3 separate regions of the Mus musculus genome follow, and all the other regions are reported to be linked to region 2. Evidence: microRNA targets listed by miRTarBase, many of them from high-throughput screens and not tested one by one. Region 2 holds a microRNA gene; each other region holds the end of a gene's coding sequence.

Region 1 (4,158 bases), not on the chromosome of region 2:
ATGACATCAAATTCGTGCACACATGCCTGCACACACGACCCAGGCAGGCATCTTGACTTCTAAATTGCCTCTTTTTTTCCACTGGTGAAGTAACAAACAAACATCCTTTTGAAGTTCATTGTTTATTCCGTTTTCCAGTTTAAACAGAATATTTGGTCATAAAAACAAAGACTAAAGTCTGTCTAAAGCAGAGACAGACTGGAGTGGACTGTTCCAAAGGGGAGGGGCACTGTATTCTCTTTTGAAAACTAACTCGTGTATCAGAAAAAATTACACGAATTTAATTTGTAGCATTTAATGACAGGGTCTGAGACACATGTGTGTTTTCACATCAGCTAACAGGAAGCAGGTCACACCAGAATAAGCCCTTATCTTCTATTTACATCTGTTAGAGCAAATAAGCCATGTAATGGGATATTCTATACCAAATCACAGTAGGTTTTCTTTAGCACATCGGAAATACAAAAACACTCTCATCGTTTCAATAAAAGAAAAATGTTGCTTGTTAGAAATCAGAGTTTGGCCTGAAGTTATTAGTCAAAACTAATGCACCATCAATTACTCACTGTTTGCAAAACAAAATAAATCATTTTAAAAATGAATGTAAAGGCTGGGGAGATGCCCAGCTGTTGAGAGCATGCACTGCTCTTCCAGAGGACCTTAGTTGAGTTCCAAGACCCCAAGTCAGGTAGCTCACAATTGCTTCAGAGGTTCCGATGCCCTTCTTCTGGCTTCCATGAGTACTGCATACACATGTGTGTGTATACCTATGTATACACACAAATAAACAGTAAAAATAAATCTTTAAAACAAAAGTTATAAAAATAAGCAATGTCCTCGAACCTTTTGCTTAGAATTAAGCATGTTGAAATAACTAGGCAAAAACCCATCTGGGTCAGACCCATCTTGGGGAGGCCAGCTTGCTCAGAAGCATCCTAACTGAGAGCATAAAAGCAAGATTTTTAAAAAGCCAGAATGCCTGTAATTAATATCACAATGTGAATTAAAATGGTAAATTCTGCAAAAACAAAAAAGTATTAAGATAAATGTGTAGGTCGTCTTGATAAGGCATGAGACAACTTGGCAGAAATCTTTTAATTCAAGGTCAAGTGGGGGTGTAAAAGTGCTCACAAAGATAATTAAGATGATTTGTGAGACAAAACTCATAGAGAGCAGCCATTGTGGGGACTCACCAGAGCCCACAGTCATACTCAGGTCACACTGGAGAGAACTGCAGAGAACGCGACAAAGTTCACCACGCCAAGGGAAAGGAAACATATAGGATGGAAGATGCAGTCCTTGGTCATGAGCCTTGGAAAGCAGAAACAAGAGGCATCAGTGGGTGCCTCTTCCCTTCGTCTGTCTTCTCTTATACCTAACACTTAGACTTACTAGTTTGACAAGTTGGTGTATTTGTATCAATTATAATCTACACAGGTATTTTTTCCTATGATGTAGCCTATATTGGTATGTTTTTAAAAGTTCACATCAATATCAAATTATTTTTCATCAGAAGACGGAAGATGTGTGCATTAAGAACAAAACTGAAAACAAGGAGATGAGAAGTATGATAAAAATGTGTAACTTTTTATTTTAGTTTTTTTAAGTTTCCAAAAGAAGAAAAAGTCAGTAAATCAGTTTTTATGAAGGGAGAGGCACATTTCAGACAGGTTATCACTAACACCAGACTGACATCAGACTTGCAAACCGTCCACGGCTTCCTGGGTGCTAGGATTTCAGGTCTGTATCACTACACCTGGCTAATCAATGACCTTGCAAATAAGCGGTAGTAGAGCTGAAAGCAAGAGAGACAGAATTTGCTCTAGATTCAAAGGTTCCGTATAAGAAGGATAAGTGATGGCCTGGCAAATTCTCTCAGGACAGAAAGACTCAGAGCATGAACTTTGTGTGCCTTAGTTCCTCCAAGCCCACGAAAGGTTTGGTAGAGGGATTTGGGGGAGAATTAGTTGAGACTTAATTTTGCCTAATTAGTTGCCATATGCTCTCTATCCATGTTCTTTGTGAGAAGATGCAGTCATGAGTGTTGGCTTTCATTAGGACTTCTTGTATTGAGCTGATCTACATAATATATTTAATATCTGAACTTATCGTCAATACCTAGATAATATCAGTTAAATCAGATGAAACCTAATTGCACCAAGGAAGTCCTCTATGATTAAAAAAAAATACTTCAGCCAGGCAGTGGTGGCGCATGCCTTTAAACCCAGCACTTGGGAGGCAGAGGCAGGCGGATTTCTGAGTTCAAGGTCAGCCTGGTCTACAGAGTGAGTTCTAGGACAGCCAAGGCTATACAGAGAAACCCTGACTCGAAAAACAAAAAACAAAAACAAAAACAAAAAAGAAAACTTCAGAAATTACAGTATATCCTTTATAAAATGACAAATTGTTACATATTCATTAAAAGTGGGCTGGGGTTATGGGCTTAGTCATACAGTGTCTCTCTAACATGACAGAGACCCAGCTTGATCCTGAGTACTACGGGGCATGGTGTCATATACTGTCTGTTATCCCAACACTTGGGTGGCAAAGCATCAGAAGACCAAGGTCATCCTCTGATGCGTAAGGAGTTCAAAGCCAGCCTGGACTATGTGAAACCTTAACTTTTTTTTAAGCCAATCAACCAATAAGAATATTAAGGGATTCTACAAGTAAATTTTCAAACAGGTAGCAACATGCCTCATAACTTTTTAGTTTTCTAACCACAAGATATAAATTGGATCAAAATTGAGACAGCAAATCGAATACATCAATTGTCATATATGGAAATGTCTATGCTGTCAATAAATTTCTTAAAAAGGGAAGGATAGGAGAATTTTGTTGTTCAGAGGTAGCTGATTATCTTAGACTCTAGAAAATATACTGGTCGTTTGTAACGAATCTACTTCCATGTCTACTTAGAAGGTGTTTCAAGACTGTTGTACTTGCAGATCAGACGCCTCAATTTCGTGATGTAGAATTGCCTCTGGATAGTGTTGGAAAAGCTGTTGCAACCATCAGCAATGAGAGAATGCCGATCAACTCATTTCTAGCAGCTGGTCAGGTCAGTCAAATGGCATGGGAATGATTTATTAGAAGAGCCAGTGTCTCTGGTTTATATTGTTCCGTCAAATGATATGAAAATGGTTTAAACATCAGTAGGAATAATCATTTGGGTCATTACACAATGACAATGCTGAGACAAACATACCAGAGTCTTAGGAAAATATATTAACAGGCATTCTGCAAGCAATATGTTATTCTGAAACTTCTTGAATCTGCATACCTCTAAACTCTACAAACTTTTTAAACTCAGTTCATGATATAAACTGCGTCAGTTTCACGTATTCAACTATGCTGCCTCGTTTCTAGAAACACTTAAGGTTGATATCTTTTATTTAAGAAAAACCAAATGTGACACATGTATAGCCCTCAAGGCAGAAAGCCATTTGTCATTCATTCATAGGTAATACTCTAGCCCCGTGTGCGTTGATGTAGGTGATAAGGATTCTGGCTCTCCGCTCTATCACGTCGATAAGCTTCTCGATGCCTTGCCTGCCTCCTTGACTTTCCCAATAAACCTGATCAAGGAACAGAGACTGAAGGAGCTTCTGTCTTAAGTGTTGGCTCTTCAAAACAGAAACTGCAGATTCAGGAAACCTGAAACGAGAACACAACATTTCATTCTTAGAAATTGCTCAGAAATATTATTTCTCCTTCCAGTTGCTCTGCCTTCCTTAATCTCATAAGTCACACTATCAAATGAGACCTAGAAAACCAAAATGTTTTTGTCACTGACAAGCAGACACTTCTCATGAAAATAAAATACACGAAAAAATGTATTTCAAATGAACCGAATTATCTAGTCCATTCAGAACGTGACATCCTAATTTCTTACTTAAAGGTCATTAAAGATTGGCAAATAGAGGCATAGAATTAAGATCACATTAGGTCTGAAGATGTATTTCCCATCATCTTAAGCTACAGAAAGCCTTTTGTCTGCTCTCATCAGTAACAAGGTGAAGTTTGATGAAAGAAAATCGAGAGAAGCAAAACGTGTGTGGTTTCAGCGAAGTGTCCTCCCTGAACAGCAGTTATGGTTTAAAGTTCAATGACTACAGACTTTTGATAGAACAAAAGAAAAATTATTTAAGAAGAAAA
Region 2 (4,158 bases):
GGTAACGCACAGTAGTCAATGGCTGCTCGATACAATTTTCCCTCCGCCTTGAGGAAATGATTAAATAGGGATGTTGTGTGGATGTGTGTGTGTGTGTGTGTGTGTGTGTACAATGCGCTTGTATGAAGAAGGAGGAGACTTCCAAGGCCGGCTGGCTACTGCTTGCAGGTAGCTACAGCAGTCCGGATGATAAGCCAATGGCTTGTGGTTACGCAAGTGTCGACAGAATTCCCAGCGTGCTGCGCGCCTGCACCCGTATGTTCATGGCGGCGGCTGGGCGGCGCGGTCTGCTTTTGCTCTTTGTACTATGGATGATGGTGACTGTGATTCTGCCTGCCTCTGGCGAAGGGGGATGGTGAGCCATAGGAAATGGGTGGCGGGAGGGAGCCTGAACTTAAAGCTTTGACTGGCCTGACCTGTTGTCCCTGCAGGAAACAGAATGGGCTGGGAATTGCAGCAGCAGTAATGGAGGAGGAGCGTTGCACAGTGGAGCGTCGGGCACACATCACGTACTCCGAATTCATGCAGCAGTATGTGTGCCTGCCCCAAGTCTCAGCATGATTCTAGGCATACTACCAATCATGGTCTTTGGCTGCGGAGGTCTCACTGCCTGGTGTGTAGGAGAGGCCCCTGCAGAGTTCAAACTCAGTGCAACATTCTCCTCTTTCCCCCCAGCTATGCCTTCCTCAAGCCCGTCATCTTGCAAGGACTCACGGACAACTCGGTGAGTATTCGTACCCTGTGGGCAACTGCTTCTGTTTGGCCAAGTGCTCAGTTACCTTATCCTTCATCCCCAGAAGTTCCGGGCCCTGTGTTCCCGGGAAAACCTGCTAGCCTCGTTCGGGGACAACATTGTTCGCTTGAGTACAGCCAACACCTACTCCTACCAGAAAGGTGAGCTACACACCCTGCAAGGTTTGCCTTCACATCTCAAAGGCAGAACTGACCAGTCCCGACTGGCTCCCCCTTCTTGTAGTGGACCTGCCCTTCCAGGAATATGTGGAACAGCTGCTGCAGCCCCAGGATCCTGCATCCCTAGGCAATGGTGAGCCAGACCCAGGCAGCGGTGGGAGTGGGGTACTTGGGAGCCCACTGTTGCCAGTACTCCTGCCTATCACCCTCTCTGCTGGCAGACACCCTGTACTTTTTTGGAGACAACAACTTCACTGAGTGGGCATCCCTCTTCCAGCACTACTCTCCGCCACCATTCCGTCTCCTGGGAACCACCCCTGCTTACAGCTTTGGAATTGCAGGTAGGGGCTACTTCAAAACAAACTTGGGGGAGCCCATATATATTTTGTTCATCAGCTATTCATAACTGACCCCACAGGAGCTGGATCTGGGGTACCCTTCCACTGGCATGGGCCTGGTTTCTCAGAGGTTATCTATGGTCGGAAGGTCAGTACAGTGTTATGTGTGTGTTATGTGTGTGTGTAAATCTGGTGTCTATAGTCCATTGCACACATAGTGACCTTACACTCCTGCCTCCAGCGCTGGTTCCTCTACCCTCCTGAGAAGACACCTGAGTTCCACCCTAACAAGACCACATTGGCCTGGCTGCTGGAAATATACCCATCTCTAGCCCTGTCAGCACGGCCTCTAGAATGTACCATCCAGGCTGGTGAAGTCAGTAGCTGGTAGGTGGGGGTTGGGCTAACTCAAAAAGCCATGAATCAAAATTTTTTTTTTCTTTTCTCCCAGGTACTGTATTTTCCTGATCGGTGGTGGCATGCCACACTCAATCTGGACACCAGTGTCTTCATTTCTACCTTCCTTGGCTAGCCAGACAGGCAACTGGCAAGCCCACTGCACCAGCACATGCCAATGTAGTGCTCACAGACTTTATTACAGGACAGTGGCAGCAGCAGCAACCTCAGCCCACCCTCACCCACTCTCCAGCCCAGAAGGGGGACAAGGGAGGCTCATGGTCCAGCAAGGGGTATGCTGAGAAGGGGAGCAGTTCAGAACCCATCAGCAGGGCCGATGGGGGCAGGCCCAGGGACACAAACTATACAGGGACTGGAGCTTCCGTCTCCAGATCCTCCTGGGCCAGGGTGCCAGGCAGGACATGGGGCCTCAATAGTCCTCTACCCAGCCGTTCTCAGAGATGAAAGCGTCAATGACTTCCTTCATGGCCAAGTTGGGGATGAGCTGTTCCTGGGTCAGAGGGCTCCGGGTCACAGGGTCAAAGTGGCCCACACGCTGCAACAGAGTCAAGAGTGTTCAATGGCCTGAGTATACCGATCCGGGTACCAAGGCTCTCCATGGCCCGGTCTCCATGGGCCCTCCTTACCTGCAGGTGCTCCTCAATGTCCTTGCGGTCATAGGTGATACCACTGGGTGTAATGCAGGGTTCCCGCATCAGCTCAAAGCTAATCTTGCCACACAAGTAGTCAGGGATATCTCGCTTCTATAGCACAAGGGGAAAATGTCTAGAACTGGAGGGGGCTGTGGGGGTCACCATACCAGCAGCAGCCGATGAGCTTCCGGGGGTCCTCACCTTTCTTTTCTCGTCCACCTGAGAGAAGAGCTCATCCATATCTGCCATGTATTTATCCTGCAGAGTTGAGTGCCATGTGTGGGCAACTCCTGTCTCCACACAGACACACACACTCTGTCCACCAGGGCACTCATGTCATGCATGGGCCAACAGATCCACCAAAGGCTGGGGCACTTTTCATGCCACACACAAACACACACACAATGACCCACATGTGGACTAGGGGCACCCTCACGTGCTTGGCCTCAATGCAGGCCTGCTGGGCCCGGATGTGGCCATCATCTTCATGACCCTCGTGGTTCCGCTGACACTCCTCCAGTTCCCTGAGGGTTAACCAGAAGCTAGTTGGTGATGGCCCTGACCAGGAAATCACAGAGCCCGCCCCATCTCAGGCCTCTTTCCTCCTGGGCTTCCCATGTACCGGTTGTTGTCCTTCAATAAAAACACTTGTGCTGGTGACTCAGTGTCTGCTGGGGGAGGGACCCACCTCTCTCGCTCAGCAGCAATGAGCCTGGTGAGATATGAATGCAGCTCACTCTCCTGGTGGATGCGCCGTTCCTCGATACTGTTCCAGCGCTTCTTCTTAGCAATGCGAAGGGCACTAGGAATATCATCCCCAAAGTTGAGTCGCTGCTCCTTGGCCAAACTATAGGCTAGGGGAGTGGACACTTTTGGTTACACTTGTCAACAATCCTGGTCCCCCAAGGTGCCCTCAACCTTGCATCTTGTCAGCCCACCTCGCTGCAGATTGGCAATGGCCTCATCATAACTCTCCATCTCCAGCTGGCACTGCCCCAGGAAGAAGTGCGCCTTCACAGACTGCCCGTCCAGCTCCAGGGCTCGCCGGCAGTCAGCAAGTGCCTGTTCAGGCTGCTGCATCTTCAGATAGCACAGGGCCCGGTTAGTGTAGTACACTGCCACAAGTGGGTTCCGAGTCTGGGGACCAAGACCAGGCGTCAAAGAGTGTGGGCTCAGTTGATCCCCTCTCATTTAGCAAGCTGAAAGCCAATGATCTGGTCAATGCTCCAGCTTTGGGGGCCCATGGCTGGAATAGAGGAACTGGAGATTTCCGAATTATCAAGAGCTCTGGATTCTGGCCATGCTTTCTTGCCTCCAACTGCTTTTGAGAGAAATCCCACAACCCCTCTACAAGCTCTGGGCTTGGAAATCTCAAGGGGCAAGAGCTCCTGGTGTCATCCTTAGTCTTACTTAATCAAGCATCCCGCCCGCCAGTTCCCAGTCAAATCAGCCCTAGACTCGGGAACAGCAATCCGGGCACCAGGGGAGCGAGCGAGCCATCGAGTCCAGGCTGCCAGAAACCCTGTCCGGGATCACAAAACTGGGAGGCACATCGGGCCCCGCCCCCGCCCCTCCCGCACTCACGATGGCGCGGCCGTAGCAGGCCGCCGCCTCCGGGTACTTGCGGCCCACGAAGAGCCGGTTTCCCTGCTCCTTGAGCTCTTGCGCACTCGGGCTCTTATCAGGGCTGCCGCCGCCACCAGTGCCCAGCCGCGCGCCGCCCTCCTTTTCCTCCTTGCCCTTCATGGCGCCGCGCGGCACGGCTTGGGCTCCGCGCCCGGCCACCTAGATCTCGCAGCCCGCGCAGCGATCAGCTCCGCCCGGTCGGCGATCCGCCACCGGAACTTCCGGTGTGGGGC
Region 3 (4,158 bases), not on the chromosome of region 2:
AGTATGCTTCATTCTAGGCTCCTGTGTGTGAGGTAGGAGTAAGCCAACAGAAGACACAGAATTGAGATGGGGAGAGAATTGGGTCACAAGGTATGGGAAACCAGTCTGAGGCCGACACACTGGATGTGGCTTTTCTTATTTAACATGCAATTTTGTTTTTGATGGCAATCCAAAAGCAGATGTTCAGAAATAGGCTATTGCCTGCCCCCCACCGTTTGTGCCTGGCTTCCCGGGGGCATCATTTAAAGCATAATGATTAATTGATTCTAAATGCTATGAGAGATTTGTTTAAAAGTAGTGTTTACTTTTAATTATATAAAACATTTTGAACAGTGATCATAGCCTATGATATGAACCAATGTGTAGAGGATAGGGTGGGATAGCAGTGTTCATTTTATACTTAAGCTCTGTGTTCTATGCATGGCCACAATTAAGAACAGGCTGTGGACACCCGATGAGGCCAGAAGACAAAGAAGTAAACGGACAGCATGGGTTGTCCCCTGCTGGCCTTACAAGTCTCTGAGCTTCAGGGAGGCAGCACAGCATGGCAGAGTGTGGCTCAGCAGAACCCATTCCATCCAGGCTTCCTGCCCTTGGAATGAATGGAAAGACTGCAAATTACTTAATTCCTCTGAGGCCCGGTTACCCTTTCCATAAATAACTGGCAAACTGCTTGGGAAACACCAGTTCTTCCTTAGGGAAGGGTGTTTTCTGAAAACTGAGGGTGGTAATCCATTTGTAGACTGAGACTGGTTTTGTGGGTTGAAGTTAGCATGTTGAAGAAACAGAACATCAGAATGTACTGCACACAATGGTAAACATTTTTCATGGATACACGTTCAATCCTAATACGTTTTTTACTGTGGGCTACATCAAAATTTCAGAGGAATTATCAGATTATAACATCAAAAAGTCTTTAGGGGGACTGCCTATACTAATATGAAGTCTCTACAAATTTTAAGACATTAAAATGATTCTTTTTAACTAGTTGAAATAAAAATAAGACATAAATCATAGAGATGATAAATTTAACTAGACACTATGGGGCATATTAAATTCAATTTTAAGATCATTTCTGTGTCATATTGACTAATTTATACGTTTAAGTACTTTTATATCATTTATAGTTGATTAAACACTTCTAAGAAATTTCCACAAAAAGTTGGCTATTGGATTCTATTGTGGAGAAATGAAAAACAATTTCTCAATAACTTTAAAGTATAATGAAATTTTAAAGAGGACTGTAACTTCCTTAACCATTACGGTGGCTAGAGTCAAAAGCCCAATACTGATGGTTCATTAACATGCCGATGGTTCCCACATTCCCACACTGGCTCAGCGAAGATGCGCGGTCCCAAGGGTGCGAGCTTCATATCCAAGCCTCAGCCCTGTTTCTTTGGCTTCCATGTGCTGAGGCTGTTATGGCACTTACTGATGGCACTTTGGGGATTCATGGAATTGAGTATTAAGTAATGAGGAAGATGAAGTAGACCATGGGAGACTAAAGAATTAAACAACACTTCTTATCCTCACAATACTAGCTAATCAGGATGGACTGGCTGTATCGGAATTTCCCCGGGGCCAAAGTTCAAGAATCTTGTTTTAGCTGGGTATGGCAACACACCTTTAATCCCAGCACTCCGGAGGCAGAGACAGATGGATCTCTGAGTTCAAGGCCAGCCTGGTCTACAGAGAGAGTTCCAGGACAGCTAGGTCAGGACTATACAGAGAAAACATCTTGAAAAATAAAACAAAACAAAAAGGAATCTTATTTGAAGTAAAATCTGGATGCATTCTGAATGCCCCCTGCTCAGGTTTGACATGCTATCTTAAAGGAGCAGCAAGAACCAGAGAACAAAGGATGACAATAAAAGTAATTACTTAATGCCCAGTGTGTTTGGCAATATTTCAGGATCCGAAAATTATTCAAATTTTGTTTGTTATTAAAGTCTTAAGACAGCGGATAAGAAATAAATACTCAATACTTTCCGATCTTTTAATACGGTGTAGTTCTTTGTTTCATAGGGATGCACTGGTAAGACTCACAAAGCATTGAAGGGAAGGAAGGAAGTTATAACACAGAGGGAAAGGTAGCAACCCACAGAGGCCAAACATCAACTCAGCACTTAAAAGAAGCTAAGAGGTAACCCTTCGGCCCCTGACCCTGTGCTCTGGCTGCTGGTGCACTCTTCTCAGGAAGAGATGAGAGTTGCGGGACCAGTGGCTTCTTCCTATTCCTTTCTTCTGAATCTCAAACCTTTCTGTTTTGAGAGAGACACGGAGTTGAAGTGGACATGCCTGCTGTGCATGCCAACTGTTGGGTTAGCACCACAGATCTTTCCTTGGGTCTGAATCATGAGTTTTCCCATCTAGAATGTGAGAGAGGTTAAGCGTGACCACTGCGAGGACAGCGGCAGGAGGGGAGACGGCCTGGGAAAGGGCAGCAGTGACAGATGTGAGGTAGAAAGCTCCTTCTTGGACGCCCAAGAAGACTGAGGGGCGGCAATCCCTGGAGGCAGCAGGTATGCCAGCCCCTTCTAAAGTGCCCTGTGATATGATCTTGTACTCACTCCCCTTAACCTAAATAACGTTGGAAATATTTAAATTTTCTTTTTTCAACTAAAGAGATTGTAGAGATTACAGGTAGGGGTAGCTAGAAGTGGAAAACTATATAAAAAGGCAGATTATGAGGAAAATCCTTATAACATGGGTAGGAATCAGAAGAGTAGAATAGACAGTTATCTGAATCACCAGCTGGAAATGGGCTTGGTGGCTGGTTTAGTAGGTCTAGCATTGAGGTTTTGTGCTCCTTATCTGGAGAGGCAGGAAAGACTTCAGAAAAAACACCCATGTCACAATGAAGAAACTGTAAAGAGAAAATGGGCTTCTCTTTCTATTTTATAGTGTTAATTTCCTTCCCCAGAAAATACAGATGGGTCTAAGTACAACAGCCCTCAAGTCCACAAGTAGTTCACCCGTGCCCCCTGTTGAGCGGCAACATCCCTACCTGACAGAGACTCCTGAACTCGAATTCTGTTCCTCCCTATAGGAAGAAATAATTGACAAATACACTGACCTCAGGTGTCCACTACATGTCTACACTTCTTAGATCCTTAGTTATGGATCCAGTTTTCACATTTCCAGGCCTAACCTTTGCTCTTTGGCAGTCTTTAAACTTGACCTGACAGACACCCTCTGGCCAGGCTCCTCCACCTCTAAAATCTCCATTAACACCCAGCTAACAAACACATCCACTCATGGTGGTTCAACACTGCATGGACAGGGAGAGCCACTTCCTAACACTTCCAGCAACAGCAACTGCTCCTTAGCTCGGTGCACAGCAGCAGCTGGAAGCTTGGGCTTTAACTGCGTTTTTTGTCACTTTGGCTAGGGAGATCTGGACAGCTGGAAGTGAGCTTCTCCATCATTTTCTGTTTCCTTCTTTGTATCAATTTTCCACCTGTGAAGCCTAACACCCCACCACCAAGTGCAGCTGCAATTCCTGCCACTTTGAAGCCTGCGAGGAGGCCGATGGGACCCCCTACCACTCCTCCGATGAGTGCACCTGCCACAGGCAGAGCTGCCAGCTTGTATTTTGCAGCCTGTAAAAAAAAAAAAAGATTCAATTTAGAAATTGAGTTGAGAAAAATCTGCCTGTGGTGATGTGCGTTTTCCTCTCATTACTCCTGGCAATGCCTCTTTAACTCTACGTTCATAATTAACCTCAGAGATTATTCTTGGAGGGGTGTGTGTGTGAATGTATTCCACAGGTACTGCCATTGCTCCAGACCACAGACCTGAAGGAGGCAGGAGGTGTGCTCCAGATTGGACTATACAAAATGATTTTACATGCAAACTACTCAATCCTCTATCTGGCTGGCTTGTTTAAACAGCTCCTCCAGCAGCCACTGGCTCCCAGCAAAGCTGTGGCTCAGCACAGAGGCTGCTCCACAGTGGGCACCTGGGCTGAGAGTCCCATCAGATGGATAATAGACGCTCCCACTCCTCCAGTGCTGCAGCAGGCTCGGGCTTTGCTTCTGCCTGGATTAATGGACTGCTCTCTCTTCTCCCTAGGCCACTGCAGATATTCCTTCAGACAACTAAATCCCCCAGAGTGAAGCCACAGTTCACTCTCTTTTGAGAAAAAAATTCTCTCAT

The links. The annotated mature microRNA mmu-miR-3082-5p reads GACAGAGUGUGUGUGUCUGUGU and lies in region 2 at 2,598-2,619, opposite strand. An mRNA with a match to its seed (bases 2 to 7 or 8) in the 3' UTR can be bound and repressed. Matches are read on the target gene's strand: a 7mer-m8 pairs with bases 2 to 8, a 7mer-A1 pairs with bases 2 to 7 and ends in A, and an 8mer does both.
Region 1: miRTarBase lists Gask1b as a target of mmu-miR-3082-5p. Seed matches in the 3' UTR shown: 7mer-A1 at 2,311-2,317 and 8mer at 2,280-2,287.
Region 3: miRTarBase lists Stx17 as a target of mmu-miR-3082-5p. Seed matches in the 3' UTR shown: 7mer-A1 at 1,724-1,730 and 7mer-A1 at 1,688-1,694.

Annotation. Positions count from the first base shown.
Region 1 is chr3:79,940,794-79,944,951 of GRCm38, reverse strand. It overlaps Gask1b (golgi associated kinase 1B), which reads right to left. Exons shown (of 4, transcript NM_133187.3): 4 at 1-3,657. The coding sequence ends at 3,450. Among named protein-coding and RNA genes, the nearest start is that of Gm36569, 56 kb to the right of the region's middle.
Region 2 is chr17:25,828,809-25,832,966 of GRCm38, forward strand. Mir3082 (microRNA 3082) reads right to left here and starts at 2,620; the gene lies at 2,557-2,620. It overlaps Jmjd8 (jumonji domain containing 8), which reads left to right and starts at 235. Exons shown (of 9, transcript NM_028101.5): 1 at 235-355; 2 at 432-530; 3 at 676-724; 4 at 798-894; 5 at 977-1,045; 6 at 1,134-1,253; 7 at 1,331-1,398; 8 at 1,492-1,626; 9 at 1,702-3,035. The coding sequence starts at 264. The coding sequence ends at 1,782. Stub1 (STIP1 homology and U-Box containing protein 1) reads right to left here and starts at 4,111. Exons shown (of 7, transcript NM_019719.4): 1 at 3,884-4,111; 2 at 3,238-3,436; 3 at 2,988-3,153; 4 at 2,736-2,823; 5 at 2,501-2,557; 6 at 2,294-2,410; 7 at 1,826-2,202. The coding sequence starts at 4,045. The coding sequence ends at 2,077.
Region 3 is chr4:48,180,943-48,185,100 of GRCm38, reverse strand. It overlaps Stx17 (syntaxin 17), which reads right to left. Exons shown (of 8, transcript NM_026343.2): 8 at 1-3,602. The coding sequence ends at 3,363. Among named protein-coding and RNA genes, the nearest start is that of Mir1958, 30 kb to the left of the region's middle.